Linked DNA regions of Caenorhabditis elegans. The protein of the gene in region 2 interacts with the protein of the main gene of each other region in a pairwise test. Each region holds a gene or a part of one and is shown on either strand. Other genes may lie near its edges.

Evidence for each region.
Region 1: the proteins of dab-1 (region 2) and lrp-2 interact in a two-hybrid assay, tested with the Caenorhabditis elegans proteins (one study listed by BioGRID).
Region 3: the proteins of dab-1 (region 2) and ehs-1 interact in a two-hybrid assay, tested with the Caenorhabditis elegans proteins (2 studies listed by BioGRID).
Region 4: the proteins of dab-1 (region 2) and itsn-1 interact in a two-hybrid assay, tested with the Caenorhabditis elegans proteins (3 studies listed by BioGRID).

Annotation. Positions count from the first base shown.
Region 1 is NC_003279.8:3,950,988-3,955,558, forward strand, and holds the start of lrp-2 (EGF-like domain-containing protein), read right to left. Parts: upstream 3,005-4,571; 5' UTR 2,956-3,004; coding exon 2,871-2,955; intron 2,460-2,870; coding exon 2,313-2,459; intron 2,231-2,312; coding exon 2,093-2,230; intron 2,041-2,092; coding exon 1,765-2,040; intron 1,470-1,764; coding exon 1,350-1,469; intron 1,283-1,349; coding exon 1-1,282.
Region 2 is NC_003280.10:8,220,373-8,228,405, forward strand, and holds the start of dab-1 (PID domain-containing protein), read left to right. Parts: upstream 1-2,015; 5' UTR 2,016-2,103; intron 2,104-5,943; 5' UTR 5,944-5,957; coding exon 5,958-6,066; intron 6,067-6,347; exon of another isoform or gene 6,348-6,468; coding exon of another isoform or gene 6,469-6,529; intron 6,530-6,575; coding exon 6,576-6,631; intron 6,632-6,684; coding exon 6,685-7,104; intron 7,105-7,180; coding exon 7,181-7,821; intron 7,822-7,866; coding exon 7,867-8,014; intron 8,015-8,033. Other genes in the region: ifg-1 (MIF4G domain-containing protein), read left to right, coding at 1-365, 412-637, 709-870.
Region 3 is NC_003280.10:5,818,839-5,824,368, forward strand, and holds ehs-1 (Eps15 (endocytosis protein) Homologous Sequence), read left to right. Parts: upstream 1-1,873; 5' UTR 1,874-1,881; coding exon 1,882-1,944; intron 1,945-1,991; coding exon 1,992-2,172; intron 2,173-2,255; coding exon 2,256-2,368; intron 2,369-2,414; coding exon 2,415-2,546; intron 2,547-2,660; coding exon 2,661-3,370; intron 3,371-3,423; coding exon 3,424-4,340; intron 4,341-4,438; coding exon 4,439-4,640; exon of another isoform or gene 4,641-4,687; coding exon 4,688-4,760; 3' UTR 4,761-5,024; downstream 5,025-5,530. Other genes in the region: tbc-2 (PH domain-containing protein), read right to left, coding at 5,248-5,268, 5,319-5,461, 5,513-5,530.
Region 4 is NC_003282.8:17,118,017-17,125,693, reverse strand, and holds the start of itsn-1 (Intersectin-1), read right to left. Parts: upstream 6,013-7,677; 5' UTR 6,011-6,012; coding exon 5,861-6,010; intron 5,810-5,860; coding exon 5,225-5,809; intron 4,742-5,224; coding exon 4,280-4,741; intron 4,133-4,279; coding exon 3,908-4,132; intron 3,868-3,907; coding exon 3,231-3,867; intron 2,450-3,230; coding exon 2,079-2,449; intron 1,493-2,078; coding exon 1,176-1,492; intron 276-1,175; coding exon 1-275. Other genes in the region: uaf-2 (Splicing factor U2AF 35 kDa subunit), read left to right, coding at 7,151-7,243, 7,295-7,629.

The DNA.
Region 1 (4,571 bases), on a different chromosome or scaffold from region 2:
TCCGATGTAAAATCATAAGCCATTCCTTCACAGTTCATGATTCCAGTAAGTCCGTGAACTGTGTAATTTGTGGATCCAATCTTTTGCACTACAAGTGAATGCCTTCTCAAATCATACATCAGAAGTTGTTCTCCTTTTGGATCAAAAGTCATTGCACTCGGACGTTTGACATTCAGAAGATCTGAGACTCCGATGATCTCTGTCCGATAGTTCTTGTCGAATCCAAGGATCTTGATCCTCGAAGGTCTTAACTGAGCAAGAACAAATAATTCTTCATCTTTAAGATCTTTCGAGGCGGAACATTTTGTGTTATTCTGAATGTACCCATCTCTACAAAAACACGACGAAGTTTGATTGATATGCCCTATACACATATCATCACACATTGCCGCTTTGCAAATATTCTTTCCCTTGTTCTTCCATGCATGCTCATTTCGTCGAAAGTGCAAAACTTCAAGGATCTGAATATTCTCGTTCCCTTGTTTTCTCTGAGGTGTCACTTCCTGCCAAATCTTCATATCAGAATTCGAATCCAATGCATTCATTGCAAATACTCGATTGTCTTTCAGTGTCAGAAACAACCGACCCTCTGCGTAATCAATCATTTTAACTTCTTTCGCAATTCGGCCACTAACAATAGTTCTTGAGTAGTTTGCATTATAGTCAACGGCTTTGATGGATCGTGCGCCAATATCCACAAAGTATAATGTCTCGGTGAATGGGTCAATTGCAAGTGCAGGAGAAGTAATCGGTTGATAGGATAGTCGGTATCGTTGACCAGATGCTACATCGATTCTCCATATTCCTTGTTGTAAAACATCAACTTCAGATACCAAAAGCTGTCCGTTCAATCCATCATACTTCATATCTTGAATTGTTCCCATATCACCTGCGGTAACAGTTCGACAGGACGATATTCGTACACTATTATGCTTGCAAATGAATACATAATAAGAAGCATCCGTAAAAATCCAGTTGTTACCAATATTATCGAATCGTATGATGTGAATAGAAGACAAATCAAAATCAATTGCATAAGTCTTGGTTGCAGGTTCGGAGCCTTCAACATTTCCGCATGTGATATAACTATCATTTGCCGATGGAGATTCGGAGAGACAGAGTATTGGAACAGTGGCCTCCGGGAAGTCAGGATGCTGGATGACAAGAGTCATTGCTCCGGGTTTTCCTAGTGGTCGAGGCATGCTTGAATAGCTAGACATCTTGTTTTTCTGAAGCACAAAGAGCTTTTTCTTGGTGAGAATTGCTACACTGGGGATGGTTTCTGAAATAAGTTTTTTGTTTTTTTTTTTTTGAAATAAAAGTGTTCATCAAAAAAATTTTAAACTCACGATCTTTATCAGCCACACAATGCGTTCCATTGACAACTGTGAGCCTGGGATCGAAGCAGGAACACGTGAAAGTACCGTTCTTGTTGTCAGTGCAATCTTGACTGCATACAGGGGGAAGTCCTGAAAGTCTACTTTTCACTTTCTGAAGTTTTTTAAACATTTATTTCCCATGTTGTTGCTTTGTCTTATTCTTAGACGTTTTTGTCGATTTCTCATCGATTTTTTTTTCAAACTTCGCCCGTTTTTTTTCTTTTTTCTAAATAAAAAAACGTTGAAAAAATTTAAAGCAAAATTTTTTTTTAAATTCATTCAGGGGCTATTTTAAAGTTCATCCTAACAATTTGAGCTTTACCTTTTTAAAACGTAGGAAACGTAAAACTGTTGAATATTTTTTCATACTTAAAAAAAAACTCACCATTTTTGGTTCGTTCACAATGATTTACAAATTCACATTTTCCTTGCTCATTCAAAAACTTGTTCTTCGGACAGTAACACTTGATTCCATCAATCGTCATTGCTGCTCCATACTCACAACTGTCGGCTGTCTTTGGATCTTCCACGTGGCACATCGAATGCTCATCCGAGCCATCCGAACAGTCGCGTTTACCATCACAGAATTTGAAGAGAGGCACGCATTGTGCGGATTTTGAACACGCGTACTCGTTGTAATCACAGTGTAGTGGTTGATTGCCTGGAAAGTTTAGACATGAAGCGCCACGAAAATAAAATTTTCAAAGACTTACAAAGTTCAGGAGCTTCATCAGAAAGGTCGCGGTCTCCGTTTGGAAGACGTCCACAGTCGTATTGCGAATCACACAAATAGCCACGTGGCAGACATTTACCCGTTTTGCACACAAACTCGTTTTCTAGACACGTTCGTTCTGAAATTGGAATAATTAAACGAATTTTGTGGTTGAAATATGTTCTCAAAAAGACAATAGAAAAATTAAAATAGCAACTCACTACACGTGGAAGGCTCATCTGAACTGTCCTGACAATCTGGAAACCCGTCACAATACCACTGTTCCGGATAGCATTTTGGACCGCCCGGCGATTTTGCATCGCATTCTCGCATCGGTGCAACACATTCTGGGTAGTGGGGTTGGGTTTCTGAAAAAGGTTTTTTGATTCCGAAAAGTAAAAAAAATACAGGCAATTTGCTATTTTTCCAAATTTATACGGCTTTAGAATAAAATTTTTTCAAACTATTTGAAAATTCTCGATGCATTTACACACTTCACGAGTAAATTTTACTACACTGACATGGCAAAATTTTCCGAATTTTGAAAATATACAGTATCCGGTCTTAGTACAAAAATACTTCGTTAAGCGTAAGAAGGTGTGTGCCTTTGAAGATTACTGTAATTTCCAACCACTTGTTTCTACAAAACTTCATTGATTTTTCAACACATTTTTAGATTAAAAAAAATCAACGTCTTTGAAAATTACTGGCGCCCACACTTTACATTTAACAAAAAAAAATTTCGTGACTGGATCGAGTACCGTAGGAAAAAAGCTCACCCTCCGCTGACGTCTCATCTGACTGAACGAGGCTGAAACCCTGAAGGGCAACAAGAAGAATAACTAAATAACGGGCGGAGAGCATCGGAATGTGTGCAGCACCTTCATGGAGAGTCGAGAGGTACAGGTTTTGACTGAAATTAGCAAAAAAAGATGAAAAAGGAAAAAAGGGAGACAAGTTCAAAAGTCAAAAAGTAAAACGATTACGAGAAATCAATGTGATTTTAATTCAAGAACCCCCTTCTGTCTAATTGCCATTTCGTTTCGGTTCAGATGACCCAATATATTGTAGATGTTCAAATGGCAATAGAGAGAGAAAAGAAGAAAGTAAGACATTTGGAAAAGAGAAGGAAAGATGGCGATGAGCCAAATGCAATAAACAAAATTAAACTGACAAAGAGGAAATGTGAACACGAACACGAACACACAAGATTTATAAAGTATGAGGCGTTGGGGGAAGGGAAGAAGGAGCAGGAAGACGAAGTCAAAAAACAAGTTTGCTCTTTTTTATGAGATTTTTCTCAGAAAGAAGCTAGCAAAAAAAAAATCCATTTTTCGCTTTTACCGGAAAAGGTAACCGAGCAAAAACTAACTGTAAAACTCAGCGATTTATTAATTTTACACCTTTTTTAAAAATTACTTTTGGAATTTTAAATGCAAGTATTTTTAACGTATTCAATTTTTTTGGTTTTCTTGTGTTTTTTTTTGGTTTAGATCAATTCATAAAACGAATTGTATTAAACTAAAACACAAAACTAAAAAAATACTTTTTAGAAAGTAACATTCCAAATTAAAAAAAAATTTATGGAGTCCCTCAAGGAGTATAAACTAAAACTATTGAAGCTCTCCACGCAAGAATCCTTTTTAAAACCCCAAAAAGAAAATAACCAAACTACCTACAATTTTGAGATTTCCCTCACCAACAGACAACAAGGCCAAAAAAGGTACACGAGTAGAGAAGATGAGACTCAGACTGGTCGAGTAAAAATGAAACAATGAAAAATAACTTTTTGGTGATTCGGGGCAGTGTCAAAGGCAATTGGCAGGCGACGACGAAGAAGAAAAGAGTTATGTTTTGGTACATAGGCGGCGATGAAAGAAATGGGAAAGGAAGGTGGGGGGGGGGGGGGGGGTAAATGGAACAGTATGTGGACACAAAGAGGCAATTTAATAGATTGACTGTGAAAACGTTTAGCGTAAGTACATTCAATTAATAGTTTACAATACTGAGAGCAAAAATATAAGTTTTCGTTTTCTAGAAATAAATTGGCACAACTTTAGCAGATTCTCATAGATATCAAAAAAAAAAATTTAACTGCAAATTTGTAGAGTTAGTCACGATAAATGTTTTGTCAGTTTACAACTTTTTAGTAAAATCAAAAACTAACGAAATATGGACGCTGTAGTTTCAATAGTTATGGTTAAGTGCAAAAGTTATGCAAAAAAATTGAACAGCTAGCACGCGCACCTTCTAAAAATTTCAAACATGGCGTCTGCAAGAGTACGCTTTTTTTGCTCCACTGAGACTTTTTTATGAATAAAGCGAACTAAGAGCTCCTGAATAATTTCATCCAGACCGCACACATTCGACGCGCAACAATAAAAAAACGGAATGTGATCCGACAAAAAGCGGCAAGTAAGTAGGCAATAAAACTGGAGACATTCATCTCTGGGTGTCTTTTTTTGACTTTTCAAGAAGAA
Region 2 (8,033 bases):
GCAAAGGAAATCAGTGCAATGTCAATTTCTTCGCGGCGATCCACATCACAAAATTCGAATACTGACAAGACCGACGATGAGCTGACTGAAGAAGAGAAAGCTGTCAGAGCCAAGATTATGAATACCGTTAAATCCGATCTTCTAGAAATGTCTAGTGGTGAGCTCTCCCAAAAGGAATTGGTTGACTCTATCACCGATTATGTTGGAAAAGAAAAATACGGTTCGCCGTCATTGACAGTAGTCTATGAGATGATTATCCGAGCTGTGATCGAAAAAGGTTTGAAGGATGATGATCGAAAGAAGTTGGCTATTGCTCTGCGGATGTCATTGGTCAGCAAGACTGAGAAGCAAGCTTTTATAGAGGGGTAAGGCAAGAGTTTATGATTTATTGAGCTTTACAAATTATTTCAGAGCTACCCGTTTCTGCAAATTCGCTAATGATGTTGAGCTCCAGCAAGATTATCCCAAATTGTGGACCGTTACTGGTGAAGTTCTCGTGAACACAAGTCATGCTCCACATGACGAAATTGGAGAAGTTGAATCTTTCTCATTAGCGGACATGAAGCCAATTTTCTCAGCTGCCAAAGGAGAAGGAAATAAGAAATTTGACCTTCTTGTTCAAGTTTTGAAGCAATTGGTGAGTTATTGCAAATTTTAGTGCTCAGATTCAGTACATTGCGTTTATTTTTTTAATTTAATTTTTTTCAGATCGAGCTTGAGCTTGAAGTGACTGGCGCTGCAGAAGGAATCTCGTGGGAGTTTTCGGACATGAAGTTAAAGACTGAGATGGAAGAAGGACTTTCAGCAGAAATGGAAGCAGTGACGTTTAAAAATGGAAAAACGTTGTCGAGCTATTTGACGGGCAACTAATTTATCGTATTTTTGGATTTTCAAACTCCACAGTAGATTTATAGAGAACTTTTTTGTGTGCTAAAACCCATTTTAATTATCTATATAAGAACGAGTTGTTGATAATACGGTCTAAACATGTCAAGTTTTTCGTTTTTTCGCCGCGCGTCCATCCCTACCGATTTTATGTCTTATTGGGTATCCCATTAATGGTTTTCGATATTATTGCTTGTTTTTCTTTTGTTAGAGGTTTGCAAGAAAAGTTTCAAAATGAATAACTGATTATCATGATTTAGCTGAAGTAAATCAATTTTCAGACATTCAGATCATTTTTCCTGCAAACTTCCGCTCATTCTACAACTCGTCTCGAAACGTGAAGATTCTCTTCATTTTTCGTTTCGAGACGCAGAAATCAACTCGTTATAGCCCCTTTCCCACCCACCTTACCCTTTTCTTCTGATGATCACTAAAAATATCACGTTTTCCTCCAAATCATTAAATATTTATATCCTCATTTGGATTCCCGTTTCGTTTATTTGCTCCCAGTTCCCATTTCTTTCATTCGTTTTTCTATTTGAATAACCCTTTCATAGTCTCCTTGTTTATTGTTTCTAAATTAGCTGTTGGTTTTTTATTGGTTTCTCCCTTCATATTTCCATACCAGTTGGTCCCGAGAACATTTCTTGCTATGCTTGTTTTCGTGCTTAAAGGGTCTTTTCTAAGAGACGGTCGAAAAGTCGCTGAATTTTTTCGGAGTGCTGGAATTTCGTTGAATTGCATCGAATTTATCGTAAAACGAAGACTTTTGACTAGCTCTTAGCTTCATTTCTTTTCCAAATTTCCTAATTGTGTGTAAGTCAGTGCCTTCGGTCTGATTCCTGGATCTTCTAGAAATTGTGACAATTGGTTAATTTTAATATCCTCTCATCAGCCCATCTTAAATTTTCCACTTCCTTGAATTCTACGTTTTTCCTGTTTTAACTAATTGTCCTTCCGTTATTATCATCATCACCACCTCCACCACAAATAAAAATGGGCATCAAAATTGTTTTTTTTTTTTTTCATCATAGTTCTTGTTGGGGTTGTTCCCCATTTATATAGCTTGCTCTGTTTTCTCATCAAATGCTCACAGTTTTACGTTGACTCGATTTTGAATAAATATTTAGGAAATCGTGTCACTGGCGAATGTAAATGAAATCTAATATGAGAAGGAATAATATAAACAGTAATCGAGAGAATTTCGCCGTTTCGCAGGTTTGTTTGAATTTATTTAAAATTTAGACCTATAAAATTAAATAGTTTTTGAAAAAATTTGCTACAGTAACCTTTGATCTACCCGCGCAAATCTCAATTCTTTTTTCGTTAGAAACTTCATTCATCTTTCCTTGAGACAGGTTTTCAATTTTTGTCATTTTTCTTTACATTATAAAATTTTAAACTTTATTCTCGATCTGCGTAGTAATGGTGATGCTTGTCGAGGTTTGCGACAATGAATAGAAGAATAGGCAACTGATTTCTTTCAATTTTATTCGCTTCTCTCTCTCGTCTTCGCCTCAAAACTATTCTCTCAGTCTAAGACAAAAAACTGGTCTGGACACAGTGACTGTATGCAGAGTGTTTTTAACCCTTTTCTACCTCTCGTGTGCGCGCACGCTCACATACACACGCGGAGGATGTCCGTGAAGAAAAGAAAAGTAGAAGAGGATGAGAGACGTAGACATGTCCAGCATGCAGCATTAGTAGGGGTCCCTCTTCAGTCGATATTTGTCTCAATTTGAGTGGAGGCAAAGGAAAGCCGGCTTTTTTGGTGATCTGATCCTGTCAGTTTTATTTATGCATGATAAAATTAGTGGTTTCTGAGGCGTCCTTTTTTAAGAAAACTCGAATATCTTAATTATAAAATTATAAAATATCATTCAATATCCCTAGTAATGAAATTTTCTACCTTTTTATCTGAGTTTTTAGACGAAACGATGCGGGTTTTAAAAGAGTTTTGGAGATAAATACATTCTGTTTCCAAAAAAATTAACGCTTCGTACTGAACCATATTGTTGACATGGTGCATAGTGACATGGTTTCCCGTTTCAATAGAGCTTAGTATAGTAGTAGTTAATTAATCTACATCTTCTCTGTATGCTTTGTAGTAAATAAACATTATTTTACTTTCTATTTTAGAGAACTACCATTGGTACTCACAAGTTTCGTTTTCTTGTCTCTATTATTTAGTTTCCATGATCTTCACAATTTTGGTTTGAAACCATTGTCCATGTTTTTTTTTCTGCGCAGTTTCGGGTAATTATCCTGTCCCGCCGTTCGTCCCCACCCAATCCTCCCGTCAACACCAAAAAGCGTTCGTTCCGCTTCAATTACTTGAATCGATAGATGTTATTCGTCAATCCTCGTGGTCTCGGCACGAAAAGTCCCTCGCTTTATTCACCGTCCCTCCCACTCATGCTTTTGTTTAGATGAGTCACTATTGTTTCTTTCCGCCTACTACTACTGACTCGGCTGCAATTTTGACCTCAACTCCAATTACTTACGTGTTCGATCGATTTGGTTAGTGTGTCCTTCAGATGGTATTGTTGTGTGTTGAAGAAGTATAACACATTTCTTATTTCGCATCTTTTATTGTGTGTTCATATTGGAATTATAATCCCTTCGTAGTACGGTCTCTTTCCAATAATTGTTTTGATGCTTTTGAGAATTTTGGGTGTTTCTCTTCTCGATTTTTTGTTTTCAATAACAACAACAAAAAGAAATAAAATTCATTTTTTCGAAGTTACTTTTTGTGTTTTCAACGGTCACCTTCAATTTCCGCTCCGAAAAAGAACCTGATTTTCATAAAACGTCCGCCGCCGCTTCGTCGTCGTCATCAACAGAATTTTATCATCGCATCAGACTTGAATAGAAGCGAAAACGAAAAAAAAGACATCATTATATTAATAGTAATTTTCTAATGATGGCCATGATCACAAGTGTGTTGAGATTTCTCCGATTAGTAGATGTAGGAGACGTTGATGATGATGGTGCTGACGAAGTATTCAGTTAGATGAACGTTATTCTGCTTCTTTTCATTCTCATTCTTGACGCCTGCTTGTTTTCCGTTTCTCCGGTTTTTGGTTTGCCTCATTTGAATATATGCTACAGTACTCGACATGAGTGTAAATACTTAGGTTTCCGTATCTGACAGCTAAGCTTATTACGATTCCCGACGGATTTGACATTAATAGACCTAGCTGCATTAATGTTGTTCCTTTATTTTTGTCCTTATAATAATGCTGAATAAGAATGATATTTTAATTATTTTTGAACCGAACAAAAAATTTGCGTAATGTGCAGTACCCTAAAACGATTTCAAATTATCCCTATCGATTTGAAAGTTTTTGAAATATTTTGGTAAATTACGCTGGTTAGGATATAATTATTATGTTGCTATTCACTGTTTCCCAAGTTTTCAATTCGATACTAACCCATATAAAAGAGAAACAAGATTTTTCTTGCCTTCGTGTCTAACATCTTCTTCCAATATTTCGATTTTCTTGCCCATTTTCCCATCCACTGTCCAGGTGACGCATTAATTCAACGCAGCAAAATGTGAAATCAAGATGTTACGTAACGGGGGATCCTAGCCTAGGAATCATCAAGATCAGAGAGGTAAAAGGACATCAGATAGAGGCAGATAAATTCACAAGAGACTGACTGCAGCTGTCTTTCTTTTACGTCATGTTTGCAAAATGACTGGCGGCATCCCCGAAGGTGTGTGTGTCCTGTAAATCTAGTAGTCAAGCACACATTGAGTTTTGGAGGAAAAGGAGGAGTGTTCCGGCGAGTTTCCGCGCGGAAGAAGAGAGTGTGAGAGCAACTTGATCGTCTGGTTGCTGAGCAAAGCTACGCACACCTTTTGGCCATGTTTCCGTCGTTCTGGCTATTGTTCCATATTTGTATTGATTTTCCCTATTTGGTTTAGTCATGAAATGTTTCTCTGCAAAACTTGACGACATTACCTGATTGTTGGTCAACAAATCTTCTTTATTTTTGTCGTTTTTGTTACACATAAGAGTTTTGGGATCGCCCAAACGATTTCCGATAGTTTTATGGCTGATTTCTCTTGATTTCGTAATAATTCAGATCCTCACAGTTGTCGTATTCTCCAGTCAACACAGTAGTGACTCACTTCGGTTTGGATGACTAACAATGTCAATCTGTTTTCGTTTTCTTTCTTCTACTGTGATTTAGTGTTCTATTATGCATTGACTATTACAATAATTAAGTTACAGTCCTGATCTCGATTTTATGAAACTAACTACATCACACACTACGTACTCCCATTCCTGTCAAGATTGTAATCAGCTGATGTAAAAGAATGTCCCCTGACCGCAAAATAAATGAAGAACAGTCTATTTTTCTTAGTTCAAGGTTGACTGTAATAAAATAAAAAAGATTGAATTGAATATTTGTAAAAAATCAATTTCTCGGCTTCATAGAATTTTTCGCCAGATCTTACGCGCTCGGTCTCGCCACGCGGACAACGGGTTACTGTAACTCGTATCAACTTTAGATTACGTCTACGTAATGATCTCGCGTTTTTTGAAATATTATTCTGAATCATGTCATAAATTAATTAGAATATATCGTCGCTCAAATTGGAAAGGTGTGTCTTCAAAATATTTGTCAGTATGAAATAACTTTATTTACCTAAGAATTATTTTCAAGATTGCATAGTGCTTTTGAAAAGTATTGCTATTTGAATCCGACATTTTTTCTTATTTCCATTTCGAAAGTAATAACAAGTACATATCCAGTGTCAACTTGTCACCTTGAAGTATGAAAAATGACTACTGCACTTTTTCACGGTCGTCTTCATTTTTTTGTATTCTTTTATTCCGATATGGAGATGAAAACCGGTCGATCATGTGCCCCCAAGGGGGCTGATCATGATTTCACCCTCCTTTCACACTCTATCCCCCACCACCACCTCACAATTCTTTTTGGTCTCACTTTCGTTCCAAAAAGCTTTGTTATACTCTTAGTTTTCTTTTACTGTAATTTTTAAATTCTATTTTTTTTTCGTTGTAATAAATCTTATTTCTAAAGGTTCTCTCGAAACAATGGCTCAAAAGTCGGATATATCAGTGGAAACGGCAAATGCAACATCTGGAAAACCAAATCCACCATCACCAAAGTCCCGACTTGCAATGCTGAAGAGAACCAAGAAAGGTGAGAACATAGCTGAGTTCCGAAAAAATGATTTCTCAATTTTTGAGAGTATCCAATTGTGAATGTAGAGATATCAATTTGATAATTTAACGAGAAGATAGCCTTTTTGCCAATTTTCAACAGATAGATAATGTTATCTTTTTGTTATCTATAACATTTTCAGGAAAGAGTTCAAAGTTTATTGGTTCACTCTTTCTTTTCCCCCAAAAACTTGTGACAATGATCTGCCAAGCAGAAAGTTTGCTCCTTTCTTCTCTGCGTCTCACTTCGTTTTCTTATCTCTTTACGCTCTCTAGCGCCCGCTCTATGTGATTTCTATATCGATTTCTAACGAGTGTTTGTATACTTTTAAACTCATTAATAGATTTTGCAAATTTCATTTTAAGTGAATACCTAATTATCATGAAAAAGACGCAATTAGGGCGTTCGTTTTCCAAATCATTCAAGCAGAAAAAGGCGCGGGGTATGATTTACTCTATAATTATCAATCTAAAATTTAAACTTTTTAGCATCAAATGCATCATCGGATCCGTTTCGCTTTCAAAACAATGGAATTTCCTACAAGGTGAGTTTTTTTTAATGATTCATGTAGTAGTTTTTGTAAAATTGTTATTTCAGGGAAAGCTGATCGGAGAACAAGATGTGGACAAGGCTCGAGGAGATGCAATGTGTGCTGAAGCAATGCGAACTGCCAAGAGTATTATCAAGGCTGCTGGAGCTCACAAAACACGTATTACTCTTCAAATCAACATTGATGGAATCAAAGTTCTTGATGAAAAGAGCGGCGCTGTTCTTCATAATTTCCCAGTATCAAGAATCTCTTTCATCGCTCGTGATTCTTCTGATGCTCGAGCTTTTGGACTTGTTTACGGTGAACCTGGAGGCAAGTACAAGTTCTATGGAATCAAAACAGCACAGGCAGCTGATCAAGCAGTTCTTGCTATCAGAGACATGTTCCAAGTTGTTTTTGAAATGAAGAAAAAACAGATTGAGCAAGTTAAGCAACAACAGATTCAAGATGGTGGAGCTGAAATTAGTGTGAGTTTTTAGAATAATTCCAAAGATCCAATGCATTTTTAAATTATAAAAGTCCATTGTTATGACTTTATAAAAGTTCCAGAGCAAGAAGGAAGGTGGAGTCGCCGTCGCTGATCTTCTCGACTTGGAATCCGAACTTCAGCAAATTGAACGAGGAGTTCAACAACTTTCAACTGTCCCGACAAACTGTGATGCCTTCGGAGCATCACCATTTGGAGATCCTTTCGTAGACAGCTTCAACAGTACAGCCACGTCAAATGGAACTGCAAATATGTCTGGAACTCAAGTGCCATTTGGAGGACTTCAACTTCCACAAGTTCAACAAATGCAGATGCCAATGGTTCAAATTCCTCAACAATCTCATCAGAATTGGCCAACATCCGGAGCTGGATCATTTGACGCTTGGGGACAACAACAACAGCAGCAACAAATGCACCATGCTCATAGTACACCTGCTTTCGGAACAAACGGATTCTCGGATACTAATCCATTTGCGTCGGCTTTCAATACTCAAGCTCCGCCACCACCACTTCCAACTGTTGCTCCAACACAATACCGTGATCCATTCTCTGTACATTCCTCTGCTATTCCAAATTCAAATATTGATTGGACTGGAACTGGGACTACGAAAGAGAATATGGCACCATCTACTAATATCCAACAACAGCAGTCATCATTGCATCACGCCAGCACTTTTGCCAACTTTGGAGATAATAAGTGAGTGATATTCTAAAACCTAAATTAATAATAATCAAAAACAAGATTCAGGGCCGAAACCTGGAGTGAAAAGAAGGTGACGTCGCTTGAAGAAGCTTTCACGAAATTGGTTGATATGGACGCATTGGTTGGTGGACAGGGTATCAAGGAGACAAAAAAGAATCCATTTGAGCATATCTTAAACCCACCAAAGGTACAATTTAATCTATTTT
Region 3 (5,530 bases), 2.4 Mb from region 2:
GTAAAATAAATATTGTTTAATGCCTGTGTTGTTTCTTTCTGTAAATTGAATATATATACACTTGTCGCTTATCCTCTAGATCAGCTGGCTTCGTCGCTTCGTTGTTTCTACAGATATTTCTTGCAAGAATCTTCCGATCGAATACAACCCATAGAACTTCTAAATAATTTTTTTCCTGATTCACTGGTTGCTGATTTTATAATTTGAAAAATAATATTGTCTACCATGTTTCCAAATTTCAAAATATGATATTGTGATATACGAACTTTCTTTGAATACTTTGTTACAGAACTTCCTCGCATGTATCATTTTGAGAAGAAGTTGTATGTTCGAGAGCCGTTTCTAGAGAACTAACAGAACGAATTTTTTAGATTTCAGAATTATCAACAAGATCATATGCAATGCCTTGAATTCATAGATAAGAGATGATGAAAGATGGAGCTGACTGCATTTGAAAGAACTTTCATTTTATCTATCTAACAATCTAACAATTATTAATAAACAATTATTCATTTTCATTGTTGTGTTTATCATTCGATTACTCGGAAAACATTTTTATTGCTCAAAATATATATTTTTCTAGCTAACTGGAGTAGTTTCAAAATTGCCATTCGGTTCAGGATAGGCGGTTTCAGGCTTACTTTTGTTTAATTAGTCCCAGGTCTTCGAAACTCAATGTTTTATTGTGTCCTGTGTTTCCCTTGATTTTCACTAAATTAATTCTGGGGACATGAGAAGGTAATCTTGGAAAATTGAAATAAACTACAGTACTCCTCAAAGACACGATTTTAAATTCAAAAAAATCAGTCGTGTCGAGACCCGGTACCGTATTTTGGGTGTTAAAATCGGAAAATTTCGCCAATGGGGATACGATAATTTGAGTTTTATATTCAAATTAGATGTATGATATAGGAAAACATTCCACTAACGGGTGTATTTGATTTATTTTGCTTGTATTTACAAATAATATATTTCGAATGCTCGCCTGTTTCTTGATATTGTCCTCGTGTTGTTCACGGCCGAAGTTTTTCACAATTATCAATAGAGCGCTTCTGAAAACTCGTCCGCGACAGTGAAAATTTTAATTTTCAGAATTAATTGTTTTTAATTTAACGATTTTAATTAATTCTCTCATTTACTGTTGCAAGATTTTTTAATGCTATCTGTTGAATATTTAATTTTATCACTATTTTCAATAATTACGATGTAGACGCTTTATTTGCAATATATATTGCAAACAATATTACAATATATATTGCAAACAATATTGCATTATACGCAGATTATTTTCTCCCGTTTTGACAGAATAAAATTAACTTGACAATGTGTGTGTAAACACAGTGACGACAAACTGCGACAATGAGTCATTCAGGTTTAGTCTTTTGCGAATTAGTTTATTTATAATAATTATATATTATAGGGTTATTGGGATATTTTTTTATCTCACCGTTAATGAAAAATGTTAAATATATTCCTGTTTCAAAAATTGGCTACAATTTAAATCAATATATTTGTTTTGTAATCATTATCATAGAGGGCCGGGACTCTTCCCACTGAAACTCAATACTTTTGCATATTTCACATTCTCTTCCTCCGTTGGTTCACCAAAAGAGAAAAGGGACCGACATGAAAAGGAAACGAAAGCTTAAAAGAGACGGAAAATCGATGTACTAGAGTGCTCGGAAGTAGTTGAGAGGCGCAGAGAGAGAGCTTTCATTCAGAAGACACACGACGTTATTCCTCGCAACGCCTTCTTCTTTTTAACAATCTTCAATACATTTTAGTGAACTTTCTTTTATTTCTGTTTCATTTAAAAATAGTCTTAAATTTCACTATATTTAATTTTTTTCTTTTATTATCTGGAATGTTTCAGCTTTCAACATGGATGATTCATACGCGATAGCTACACCGCACAATGATGTTTTTAATCACGCATTCGCAGAGGTAAATATTTAACAATTTGTAATACGTTAACAATTGTTATATTCCAGATGAACCCTCACGGAGCACCAAGAATAGGAGCTGCAGAAGCAGCTACTTTCCTTAAAAAATCAAACTTGGCGATGCCTGTGTTAGGCCAGATATGGGAGCTTAGCGACTCTCAAAAAGTTGGATCATTAGATAAGAGAGGAGCATTTGTTGCTTTTAAACTAGTCGCAGCTGCTCAACAAGGTAACTTTTATTACCTATTTGGAATCATATTTTGTTGAAAATACGATATGCTCAAAAGTAACCTTAACAGCAAAATATTTCAGGGAAGCCCGTCGCCAATTCTTCCCTCTACGATTCTTCCCTTCAGCCACCACGGTTTGCACCACCTGTACCACCAGCAAACATGCAGCATCATTTCCAACCATCGTTCCCATCGGTTTGACTGAAAAGTGGTTCCTCTATTTCTAAGTGTTATTATTCAGGTTGGCCGTGCTCCTCCAGTGCCACCACCACCACATCCATCACATCCTTATTCGATCTCTTCTCAACAATCTTCTCCAGCTCATCCATCGTCAGCTTTTCCACCACAATGGCCGATAACACCAACTGACCAGGTAGCAAAAACTGAGAATTAAAAACTTTTAAAAAATCTTTCTATTGGCACGAATAGAGAATTGACAGTTATTTTCCTTTACAGATTTGATCAAATATTCTTGTAATTATTTCAGGCTAAATATGACTCCATCTTCCAATCATTGAATCCTGTAAACGGAAAATTGTCTGGTGCACACGTACGCCCGGTTCTGATGAACTCTGGACTTGATGCTCATGCTCTGGCTCGAATTTGGGAACTTTCGGATCAGGACAAAGATGGAAACCTTGATCGAATCGAAATGTCTGTTGCACTTCATCTTGTATACCGATCACTTCAATCAGACCCGGTTCCTGCACAGCTCCCACCAAATCTCATTCATCCTTCGAAAGCAATGTATGCTCACAGCTCACCGAATTTCGCTGCTCCTCCACATCCTCCACGTCCGATGATGGGATCGAGAGCAGGATCTGTGACGTCATTGGATGATGTGAACATGAGTCAATCGTATTCTGCAACGATGCCACGTGCATATCCACCACAACCAGGTCGTGCTTACTCTGCACAGGCTCATGTGAATGGATCACGAACCAGTGGTGCATCAACTCCGATATCTGCTTCTCACTCGATTCACTCATTTCCTGCTGGTGAATGGCCTATCAATACAGGAGATTATGCTGATCAATTTGCTCAAACTGATACGAATAAGGATGGATTGGTTGATGGCATGGATATGAGAGCTCCCATGATGACTACTGGATTGAGTGCACAGATATTAGCACATGTCTGGGCATTAGCAGATATAAAAAAATGTGGACAGTTGAATTTGGAGCAATTTGCTTTGACGTAAGTCTTTCAAGTTTACCAAATATCTAGTGTAACTAAATATTAATTTTCAGAATGCATCTTCTTGACATGGCAAAACGAGGCGAGTCCATCCCATCAGAACTGCCTTTACATCTGATTCCACCTTCATTCCGCCCACCTACGGAACCTTCAGCTTTGCATCATCCTGCTCAATCAGTTTCAACTCCACAGCTCCCAGAAGCAACTTCGATGGAAATTAAAGAAGCTTTGGAAGGCGAAAACGAAGAGATGAAGCAGCTCGCAGAGTCTATTCAATCAATGCTGGTGGAGCGGAAAACTGCAGAAGAAGCTGTTTTACAACTAGAAGCTGATATGACTATTAAGAACTCGAGTATCAAAAATCTGCAGGTTGAATTGGCCACCTTGGAGTCGACAGTTAAACAGTTGGAGCGACAAAAAGGTGAAGCCACACGAAGATTAGCTGATTATGATACTCAAATAGAACAGTTAGAATCAGCATGTAAAGCACAGAAAGAAACGAAAGAAGATACCGAGAAACGAATGCAACAAATTGATGAAGATGCAAAGAATGCTGAGGACTGTAAAGCAAATGATGAAAAAGAAATGGAAGAATTGAAAAAAGAAATTGAAATGCTCGATAATCAATTCAAAACTGTTCGTGGAGAAATTGTCAAAGAAACATCACAAAGAGAGCAAAAGGTGGCCGAATTGACAACTCTAGAACGAAAAGAAGCAAGAGATCAGATACAAATGGAAAAGCTGGATGCTGCAATCGAGAACACGACAAAACTAACAGAACAAGTATCAGATGCAGTCGAAAAATCCGAGGAGGAAATGGTTCAAATTCTGAGGTCGCAACAACGATTATTGTCTACTGTAATCGATCAATCGTTGCTATCCGATGACACTGTTTATGGAGAAACAGCTGGAACATCATCTCAAAATCATGTTCAACAACCACCTGATCCGTTTGCATCCGCCAGAGCAAGTAGGTTTATATTTTTAAGAAACAAAAAGAGTTATGAAAACTTTTATTCTGACTTAAAGTTTTGAAATATGAATATATAACATAAATTCAATTTCCAGATCCTGCTGCTGATCCATTCGCCCAAGTAGATCAGTTCGGCTCATCTGGACATTTTGATGCCGCTTTCCCAACTGATCCATTTGCTCAAGGAGGCTTCCCATCGGATTCTGGCTTCGCACAATCGGCTCCCGCAAAACCTGCTCCACCTCGCCCAGCTCCTCCAAAATCTGCTCGCGAAACACCTGTCAATGATCCTTTTGCGTAAGTCTTAGTGAGTATCAATTTATTTAAAGTCTAAATAATTTCAGCCCATCACAAGGACAATCAACTCAACCGGCTGGATTCGCTGATTTTGCGGACTTTGGATCGGCTTTCAATTGATTTTTAATAATTATACCTTACCCACTATAAGCCCCAACGCCAGTCAAATTGTTTTACTTTGCCCAAATGTTTACCTGTGCCAAGTCATCGACATAATTTATTGATGCACATTTTTAAGATTAGTTTTTTTGCACTTTCCCACTTGAATTGTCACTTTTCTAGGTTATGAAATCAGAGCAATAATGTTATATACTGTAGAATATGAATATGCATGATTATTATGTAAATTATGAGTTATAATATATAGTAAATGATTTGCAGATTAATTTTATGTTGCGTATTTGATATTTTCAGTCTCATGTGTAAAAACGGAGCACAAGTAAACGGGTTGAAGGGGGGGAAGTAAACCGTAAAAGAAATTGATAAGGAAAAAGGAGAATCACAGAAGTTTGAAAATAATAGTGAAAAAGTTGTGTGAAGAAGACATAATTATGCTAGAAATCGAAAGAAAATACAGATTAGATGTACAAGAATGTTCGTGTCGGATTTACATACAGTGGCCAGTATCCTGAAAATAATAATCGCTATATTAGAATTTATTTATATATTACTGTTTACCTTCAATTGTGTCAAATAGAGTTGTCGTTTAGTTTCTATAGTCTTCTGAGGGAACGGATTCAGTTCGTTGAATGCCACTTGAGCTAGCGACTTGAAGTCAATGATATGTTCTTGAGCTTTGCTGAGACATTGATGAACTGTGCCTGAAAATTCTTGTTAAAAAACTAATAAATTTAAAGTTGTAAGTCACAAACCAATAGTTTTACATTGAA
Region 4 (7,677 bases), on a different chromosome or scaffold from region 2:
TTCCATTTCGAATCAGCTCGCCTTCCCACCAGCCGGCTGCTGATTTTTCACGAATTTTCACAATTTCGCCAACTTTGATTCCCAATTGATTTGGCGCCGATGCAACAAAATCCACGACAACTTTAGCTTCACAGAGGACGGTTGGTGGAGCCGCTGGAGTTGGAGCTTGAGTTGGTGGAGTCGGATCCCCTGCCTGCTGGACTGATATCTCGACATAGTTGGCTGGGAAGATACCCTCACGTCCGTTGCAACGCCCTTTCCACCATTCATCGTTTCTGAAATTATTTTTTGATTTAAATCACTGAAAATTGATATTTTTGTTTTGGTGTCAGTTTTTCAGTTTTTAAGTAATTTTTTTTTGGCTAAAAAACAAGTTTTTTGGGTTTTTGGGGTTTTTTTTAATATGAAGTTTTTTTGGAAAAAAAAGAGTATTTCGGTTTTTTTTTGCAAAAATTGGATTTTGTCGGGCTTTTTTTTAATTTTGTGGAGAAATTAATTTTTTTGAGAAAATATGCTTTTTTTGGTTTTTAAATTTAATTTTTTTTCGGTAAAAATTGTGTTTTTTGGAAATTGTTTTTTTTTCAGGGTTTTTTTTGACGAAAATGACACATTTTTGGCAAAAGTAAGAAAAATTGTGCCTTTTTTGAAAAAATAGCTTTTTAGGTTTTTTTAATGTTAAAAATGACACTTTTGGATTTTTTCTGAAAAAATCGGTTTAAAACAAAAAAAGTTTTATTGGTAAACATGACGCGTGTTTGGTTTTTTTTTTTGGCAAAACTGAGTTTTATGATTTTTTTTCTGGGGAAAAATGTATTTTTTAGCTGTTTTTGTTGCAAAAATGGAATTTTTTTGGTGTTTTTGGCAAAACGACACATTTTTGGATTTTTTTCTGACAAAAATTAGACTTTTTTGAAAAAAAAAAGGTTTTTTTGGACAAGAAATAGTTTTTTGAGGTTACTTTGCCAAAAATAGGGTTTTCCTTGCAAAATTGGAAACAATTATTTTAAAAATTTTGGGCTTATTTGGTTCAAAATGTAATAAATTGATACCCCGAAACCTTTCGTTTAAGCATAATAATAATAGCGCAAGAATACGAAAAGCTATCAAAAAAATGAAAAAATTCAATTCCAAATGAGCTCCTGTCAAGAGCAGCGAGAGCTCCTCTCTCCACTTACTTCTCGAGCACTAGAATTGTGTCACCGACATGCAGTGCCAAATCTGTTGTCTCGACAGCTTCAAAATCGTAGATCACAGTGTAAAGTTGTTGTTGGGGGGCTGTTTCGGAGGCTTGTAATGTCACATCGGAAGGTACCACGTCGTATTGAGCTCCTGCTGCTGCTCCTGGAGCTCCTGCAGAAGCCTTCGAAGGAGACACAATCGGAGTCGTGGTGCTGGTGGTTGCTCCGACTTCTTTCACATAACTTTTCGGGAACCATCCAATTTCGCCGGCAGGATTTCGACCTTTCCATTTCATTTCTTGCTTTTCTAGTACCTGAAATTAATGTTATTAGTTCGAGTTAAGGTGTACCTTCAAAAATCTAAAAAAAATAGTCTGAAATTCAAGAAAAATCGTGAAAAGAAGAAATGGGAATAAAATCCTAAATTTTTTTTCAAATTTTTGGAAAAATTCCCCAGAAACCACGCTCATTTTTTTGCTGAAAAATAGGTTTTTTTGGGGTAAAAAAGGTTTTTTTTGTTGAAAATTTGGGTTCCTTTGTTGATAAAAATGGGTTTTTTTTTGGTAGAAAACAGGTTTTTTTTTAGAAAAAAGAGTTATTATGGGGAAAATGGTTTTTTTTGGGAAAAAAGGTTATTTTATAAATCATACAATTTAGCTGAAAGATAGATTAAAAATCGATTTTTTCACCGAAAATCCAATTTTTTTTTCAAAAATTCGTCAAAATCACATTTTCAAGCTGTTTTTGCAGGAAAATAGGCTGAAAACTCCTAAGAATTGGCTTAAAACTTCAAATTTTTCAAATTTTCTGCCGGAAAACTTGTAAAATCTCATTTTTTTCAGGTTCAAGCTCAAGAATTTCAGACAATTTTTGGATTTTTCGCAGCAAAATGCTCTCCACCTCAATTGTATCTCCTTTTGCAAATGACAAATCCTCCTCATTACGTGCTCTCCATTGGAATTGTGCAATACATTGAGATATTACTGCTGCTGCTGCTGGAGCACTTGAAGCAGGTGGAGCACCACCTTCTGTCAATCCCATTGCCGCTGCGATTTCCGCTTTCCGCGCCGCTTTCACTCCAATTTGATCTACTGATGAGCTCGGCGTCATGTTTGGTGGCATATTCTGAATAGGTGGATCACCGCCTGGAGTAGGTACTGCTGCGATTGCTTCGACGAATGCTTCTGGGAACCATCCGACTTTCTCACGAAGTTGACCGGCACGCCATCCTGGTTCAGCTGCATGGGATTGGAAGACGATTATGACGTCTCCTAGAAGAAAAATAAATAAAAATTAACTTTTTCTCGAATTTTTGCCTTTTTTTTGTCAAAAATGACACTTTTTGTTAAGTTTTTTCTGACAAAAATTGGTATTTTTTGGGAAAAAAAGGGTTTTTTTTTCACAAAAACGGGGTTTTTAGGTAAACATTGATTAGTGATGGTTTTTTTTGTTGCCAAAAACGAAAAAATCCAAACTTTTTGAAAAATTTCAAAATTTTTTTGAAAAAACTGCGGAAAAATAGTTCTTTTTTCCAATAATTTTTCGTAAAAATTTAAAAATTCCTGAATTTTGGACGTTTTCTCCTACAAATTTCAAAATTTTTGGAATCATTTTCAGCTCAGTTTGAGAATTTTTGAGTAAAATTCCTTGATTTTAGTGGAATTTTGCAATTTTTCAGTTTTTTTTTTCGAAAAAATTCAAATTTTCTGAAATTTTTCACATCTTTTATGCATTTAATTTGTTTTCCATGCAACTATTTCAAAAATATTAAATAAGTCATTTTAAATGAGAGATAAGAATAAAAAAATTGAAATTTTCTTTTTTTTTGGCTTTTTTTCTGGAAAAACTCTTAAAAATTTTAGATAAATTCCTTGATTTTAGTGGAATTTTGCAATTTTTCAGATTTTTTTTTGGAAAAATTTAAAAATTCCTGAATTTTATGCCAAACTTTTTCTCCTACGAATTCCGAAATTTCGAGCTTTTTCCGGAGAAGCTCGTAAATCTACACAACAAAAGGCCATTTAAAGGGACATATTGCTGTTCGGACAGCACCTGGTTCAAAACTGAGCTCATCCTCGGATCTTGCTTCAAACGCAAAAAGAGCTCGACACTTATAAGTGTCATGAATATTGAACGCCGATTGATCAACAGCACCCTTCGAATGAGCTGGCGCCTGAGCAATCTGAGCAAATGGATCCGCTGTCGACGTGGCACCGAAATCCGCGTCGAAACGTTGACTTGCATCGGTTTTATCGAATTCTCCGAATGCATCGTTGAAGTTTGCAGGGAATCCGTTGGTGGTAGTAGGAGCTGGAGCAGGAGCAGGAGCTGGAGCAGCTGAAGCTGGAGCAGATTTCGCTTCAAATTCCCCAATTTTGCTCCTGGCATGTGTCTGAGCATGAACCAGAAGCTCAAACGAATTTCGATATTCTTCTCGTTTTGCGACAAGTTTCGAATAAACATCAGTCTTATACTTTTCCTTATTCGTCTTTAAAATCTCCGTCTGATTATACGATTTCTCTTTTTCTGTGGATAATTCCAGAGCGGCATCTTCTATAGCTTTTCGAATAGCATCTCGTTTCCTTCGCAGTGCTTCTAGTTCACTTTTTCTCTGCGTTGTCTCCTTGTGAGCCGACTGTTTTTGTAGAAGCTGATGGCCGAGTTCTTGAGATTCGATAGCTGTCTGGAACTTTTTTGGGTAATTTGCATATAGATTAAACGCGTATTACCTTCTGATTAGTCTCTTGTAATTCTTTAATTCTCGCGACTTTCTCGTCTCTCGTAGATCTCATTCTCTCAATAAATCCAGTCACTTCTGCTACTGCTTCTTTGGCTTTTCCAATGTCCACTTCAACATCGATAACCTTCTCATCAAGTGCTTGTAATTGAAATTGCAGCGTTTTTTCTCGTTGCTGACGTTGTGCAAGACGCTCGTTCTCTTGTTGCTTCTGGTTCTGAAATTAGGGATTTAAATTTGGTTTTTTTTTATCATGAGTAAATAAAATTTCTGTGTTCCAAAAGTTCAATTTTCAAAAGAAAAACTCAAAAAATCGCCTAGAATCCACATAAAAATTCCATTTTTTCTGTTCAGGCATCTGTACCTGCATCTGTTTAACTTTCGCCTTCTCCATTTGAACTTTTCTCATTTTCTCGTCCTCCTCTCTGCGTCTCTCCATCTCTAGCCTCCGCTTCTTCTCCTCTTCCTCCCGTTGAGCTTCAATTATTCTCTGTCTTTCTAGTTCAGCTTGCCGCTCAACTTCAGCCTGTCGTTCCTTTTCTTGTCTTTCTCTATTTTTCTTCGCTTCTTCTTCTCTCTCTTTCTTCTCTACTTCTGCTCGTCTTCGTTGCTCCTCTTCTTCAAGAACTCTACGTCGTCTCTCCAGTTCTGCCTGACCTTTAGATAGGTTATCCTGTCGCTTATCTTCAAAAGTTTTCGGAGCTGGTGACTTTTGTGGTGGCTCCGCTCCTGGTTCGAGTTCAGGGGTATTGTTGGCTGATCTTGATGAGATTCCGCACATCCGGACAAGTTCCAGCGGGGTTATTTTTGGAAGCGCGAATCCACTCTGAAAAAAAAATTTTTTTAAGTTTTTCAGCGGAAATTTTTATGGTGTTTCATGATTTTAGGGTATTTTCCGATTTTCGTACAGAAAAATTTGAAATTTTGAGATTTTTCAGCGTTTTAACATGAAATTTTGCTGAAAAAAACAAGCAAAACGTTGAAAAATCCTGTAAAATTCACTGAAAAACTATAATTCGTGAAGAAAATACAACCGTGCGGCAGTGTTGCGAAAACTCGCGCCGCATGTTGCAAAGTGGGAGGAGCGTCCACGTGGCTTGACTTTTTATTTTGAAATTCCAAGTTTTTGACAAATAAAATTGAAAATATTCCTTATTTTTGTTGAAAAAACATGAAAAATACAATATTTTCAGATGGAAAGAACCTTTTTCTACATTTTTATATCAATTTTAGATCAGAAAAGTTGGATTTTCATGGAAAAAGTGCAATTTTTGAATAAAGAGCTTCTGGCCGGTAACAAAACACATACTTTGAACATTTCAATCATATACTGAGAAATCGCATACTCATCCACTGATAGCTTTCCATCCTTATTCACATCTGACAAAAACCAGATATGCGCGAGAACATTGGTAGGAAGGCCTGAAAGCCCGAGAGCACTCCGTCCGACTTGTGAGCTCAGGGAGCCCAGACGTTCCTTGTCGAGAGCATTAAACAATTGAGAATATTTTAATTTATTGTGGTGAGGAATCGCCCAGTTTTCCAGCTGCCGGCCTTCGAAGACATTGCGATCATTATTCAAAGGGCTTCCAGCTGAAATCGAGTTGTGTCTGCTAGATGGAGTTCCGGCAATCGAAACCGGTGCAGATGGGATGTATGACTGCGACATTCGACGATCAATGGCCGGTGGAAGAGTTTGTGAGTAGTCTACACTGCCATGCCGGCTTCCAGGCCAGGTTGGTGGAGCATTTCTGGCGGGAACTACCAGCAGGGAAGGCGGAAGTTGCGGAGGAATCGGAATTCCGGCAAGACAATTCAGAGCAAGTCGCATCGCGATAGAGTATTCACGAATATCGAGCCGGCCGTCTTTATCCAAGTCTGACAGCGCCCAGATCTGGAAATTGTTTGAATAAAAACATTTTTTTTTTTAAAGTTTAATATCAACCTGAGAAAGCACTTGCGTTGGCAGATTGCTGCGCATTAGTGCATTTCGTGCAGTGACCGCATCCATAAACGGTTGTCCTCCGGTTAATTGGCCGAACATTGCGAAATTCTTCTGATATTCGGCATCGGAAACTTCCCAAGGATTTGTCATCTGGAGAACAGGGGATTTTTCGACAAAAAATGGGAATTTCGCAACAAAAAAGGGAAAAAACGAGCCATATTTTTCTAATTTAACTGGAAATTTATGCGAAGAATCAGCGAAAATGATGAAAAAACACATGTTTTTGGGCAAACAATAGATTTTTTTGAGCCGCTCCGCTCGCCAGCTGCGTCGCGGTCGTGGCCGTGGCCTAGGTTCCCTCTCGGCCATTTCTGTAAAAATTGGCCGCGGCGCGGCGCGGCCGGCGAGCGAGGCGGCTCAATAAAATGTAATTTTTTGGCTAAAATTCGTGATTTTTCCCTAATTTAGCTGGAAATTTCTATGTAAACTTCCCACGGATTTGTCAATTGGGGGTTTTTCGATTAAAAACGCTAAAAATGCGAATTTCGCAACAAAAAGAGAAAATGCGCCGAAATTTCTGTAAATTTGGATTCAGGAACTGAGAAATAAGAAGAAATAAGAAAGAGGCCAAGCGCCGCCGAAAGCTTATCGATTTTTGCGTGCCCCAAAAGAGGAGTGGTCCCCGAGAGCGCGCGGCGAGAGATGCAAGAGACGCAGAGAATTTTAAAGGAATCAAAAACCCCTTTTTTATATATTTAAAAAAATCAATGTTTTTTTTTTCATTTAAAACTTTGCATTTTAAGAACAAATTTTAGTTTTAGAGTGAAAAATCTCGTATTCTTGAGTTTTCTCCAAATAATTTTGAGCTCCAATTGATTTTTAAATGTTCTTTCAGCCTTGGTGCATGAATTAATCGGTATAATCGCGGAAAATTGAAGAGAAATTCACTTAAATTTCAACTTATTTATTAATCTCTGGTCATGGGAGAAAAAAAGAAAAATAGAGAAAACGCTAGAAAAACGCGCGCGCTCACCTTGCCGACGCTCGCCCCGCCCACAAAAGCGTGCCTCGTTGCGTTTTCGAATTTAGCAGGGCAGTTGGTTATTATTTCCATTTTCTATCTGTTTCAGGTTCGCAGTTTGTTTTTTGCATTGAATTCTTGATATTTTGAGTTTTACGTTGTATTCTGAAGTATTTCCGTCAGAATTTGTGTTTAAAAATCGTAATTCTCAGGGTTTTCCCGCTGAAATTGAATTTTTCGTCAAAAATCATTTTTTTTAGTGAATCCCAATGTCGTATGGTGACGGGCTCTCCGGAGCCGAGTACCTGGCCTCAATCTATGGTACTGAGAAGGATAAAGTCAATTGCTCGTTTTTCTTCAAGGTTTGTTGTGGATTTCTGTGAAAAAATTCAATAATTAAATAATTTTTGCAGACAGGAGCCTGCCGCCACGGAGACAAATGCTCCAGAGCCCATCATACACCGACATTCTCGCCAACAGTTGTGCTCAAAAACTTCTACCACAATCCGGTAGTGGATGTCCGTCAGGCGGATGCTTTCGATAAAGTCGGCAAGCGGAATGATCAGGAACAGCGCTATTTTGACGATTTCTACGAGGAGGTTTTTGTGGAGATGGAGCGAAAATATGGAGAAGTGGAGGAGATCAACGTTTGTGAGAATATCGGAGAACACATGGTCGGAAACGTATACGTCAAATTTATGAAGGAAGAGGACGCCGAGAAAGCAAAGAATGATTTGAATAATCGATGGTGCGTAAGCTGAAGCTGCTGTGTTGATAGGGCTCAAGCTGAGCTCAA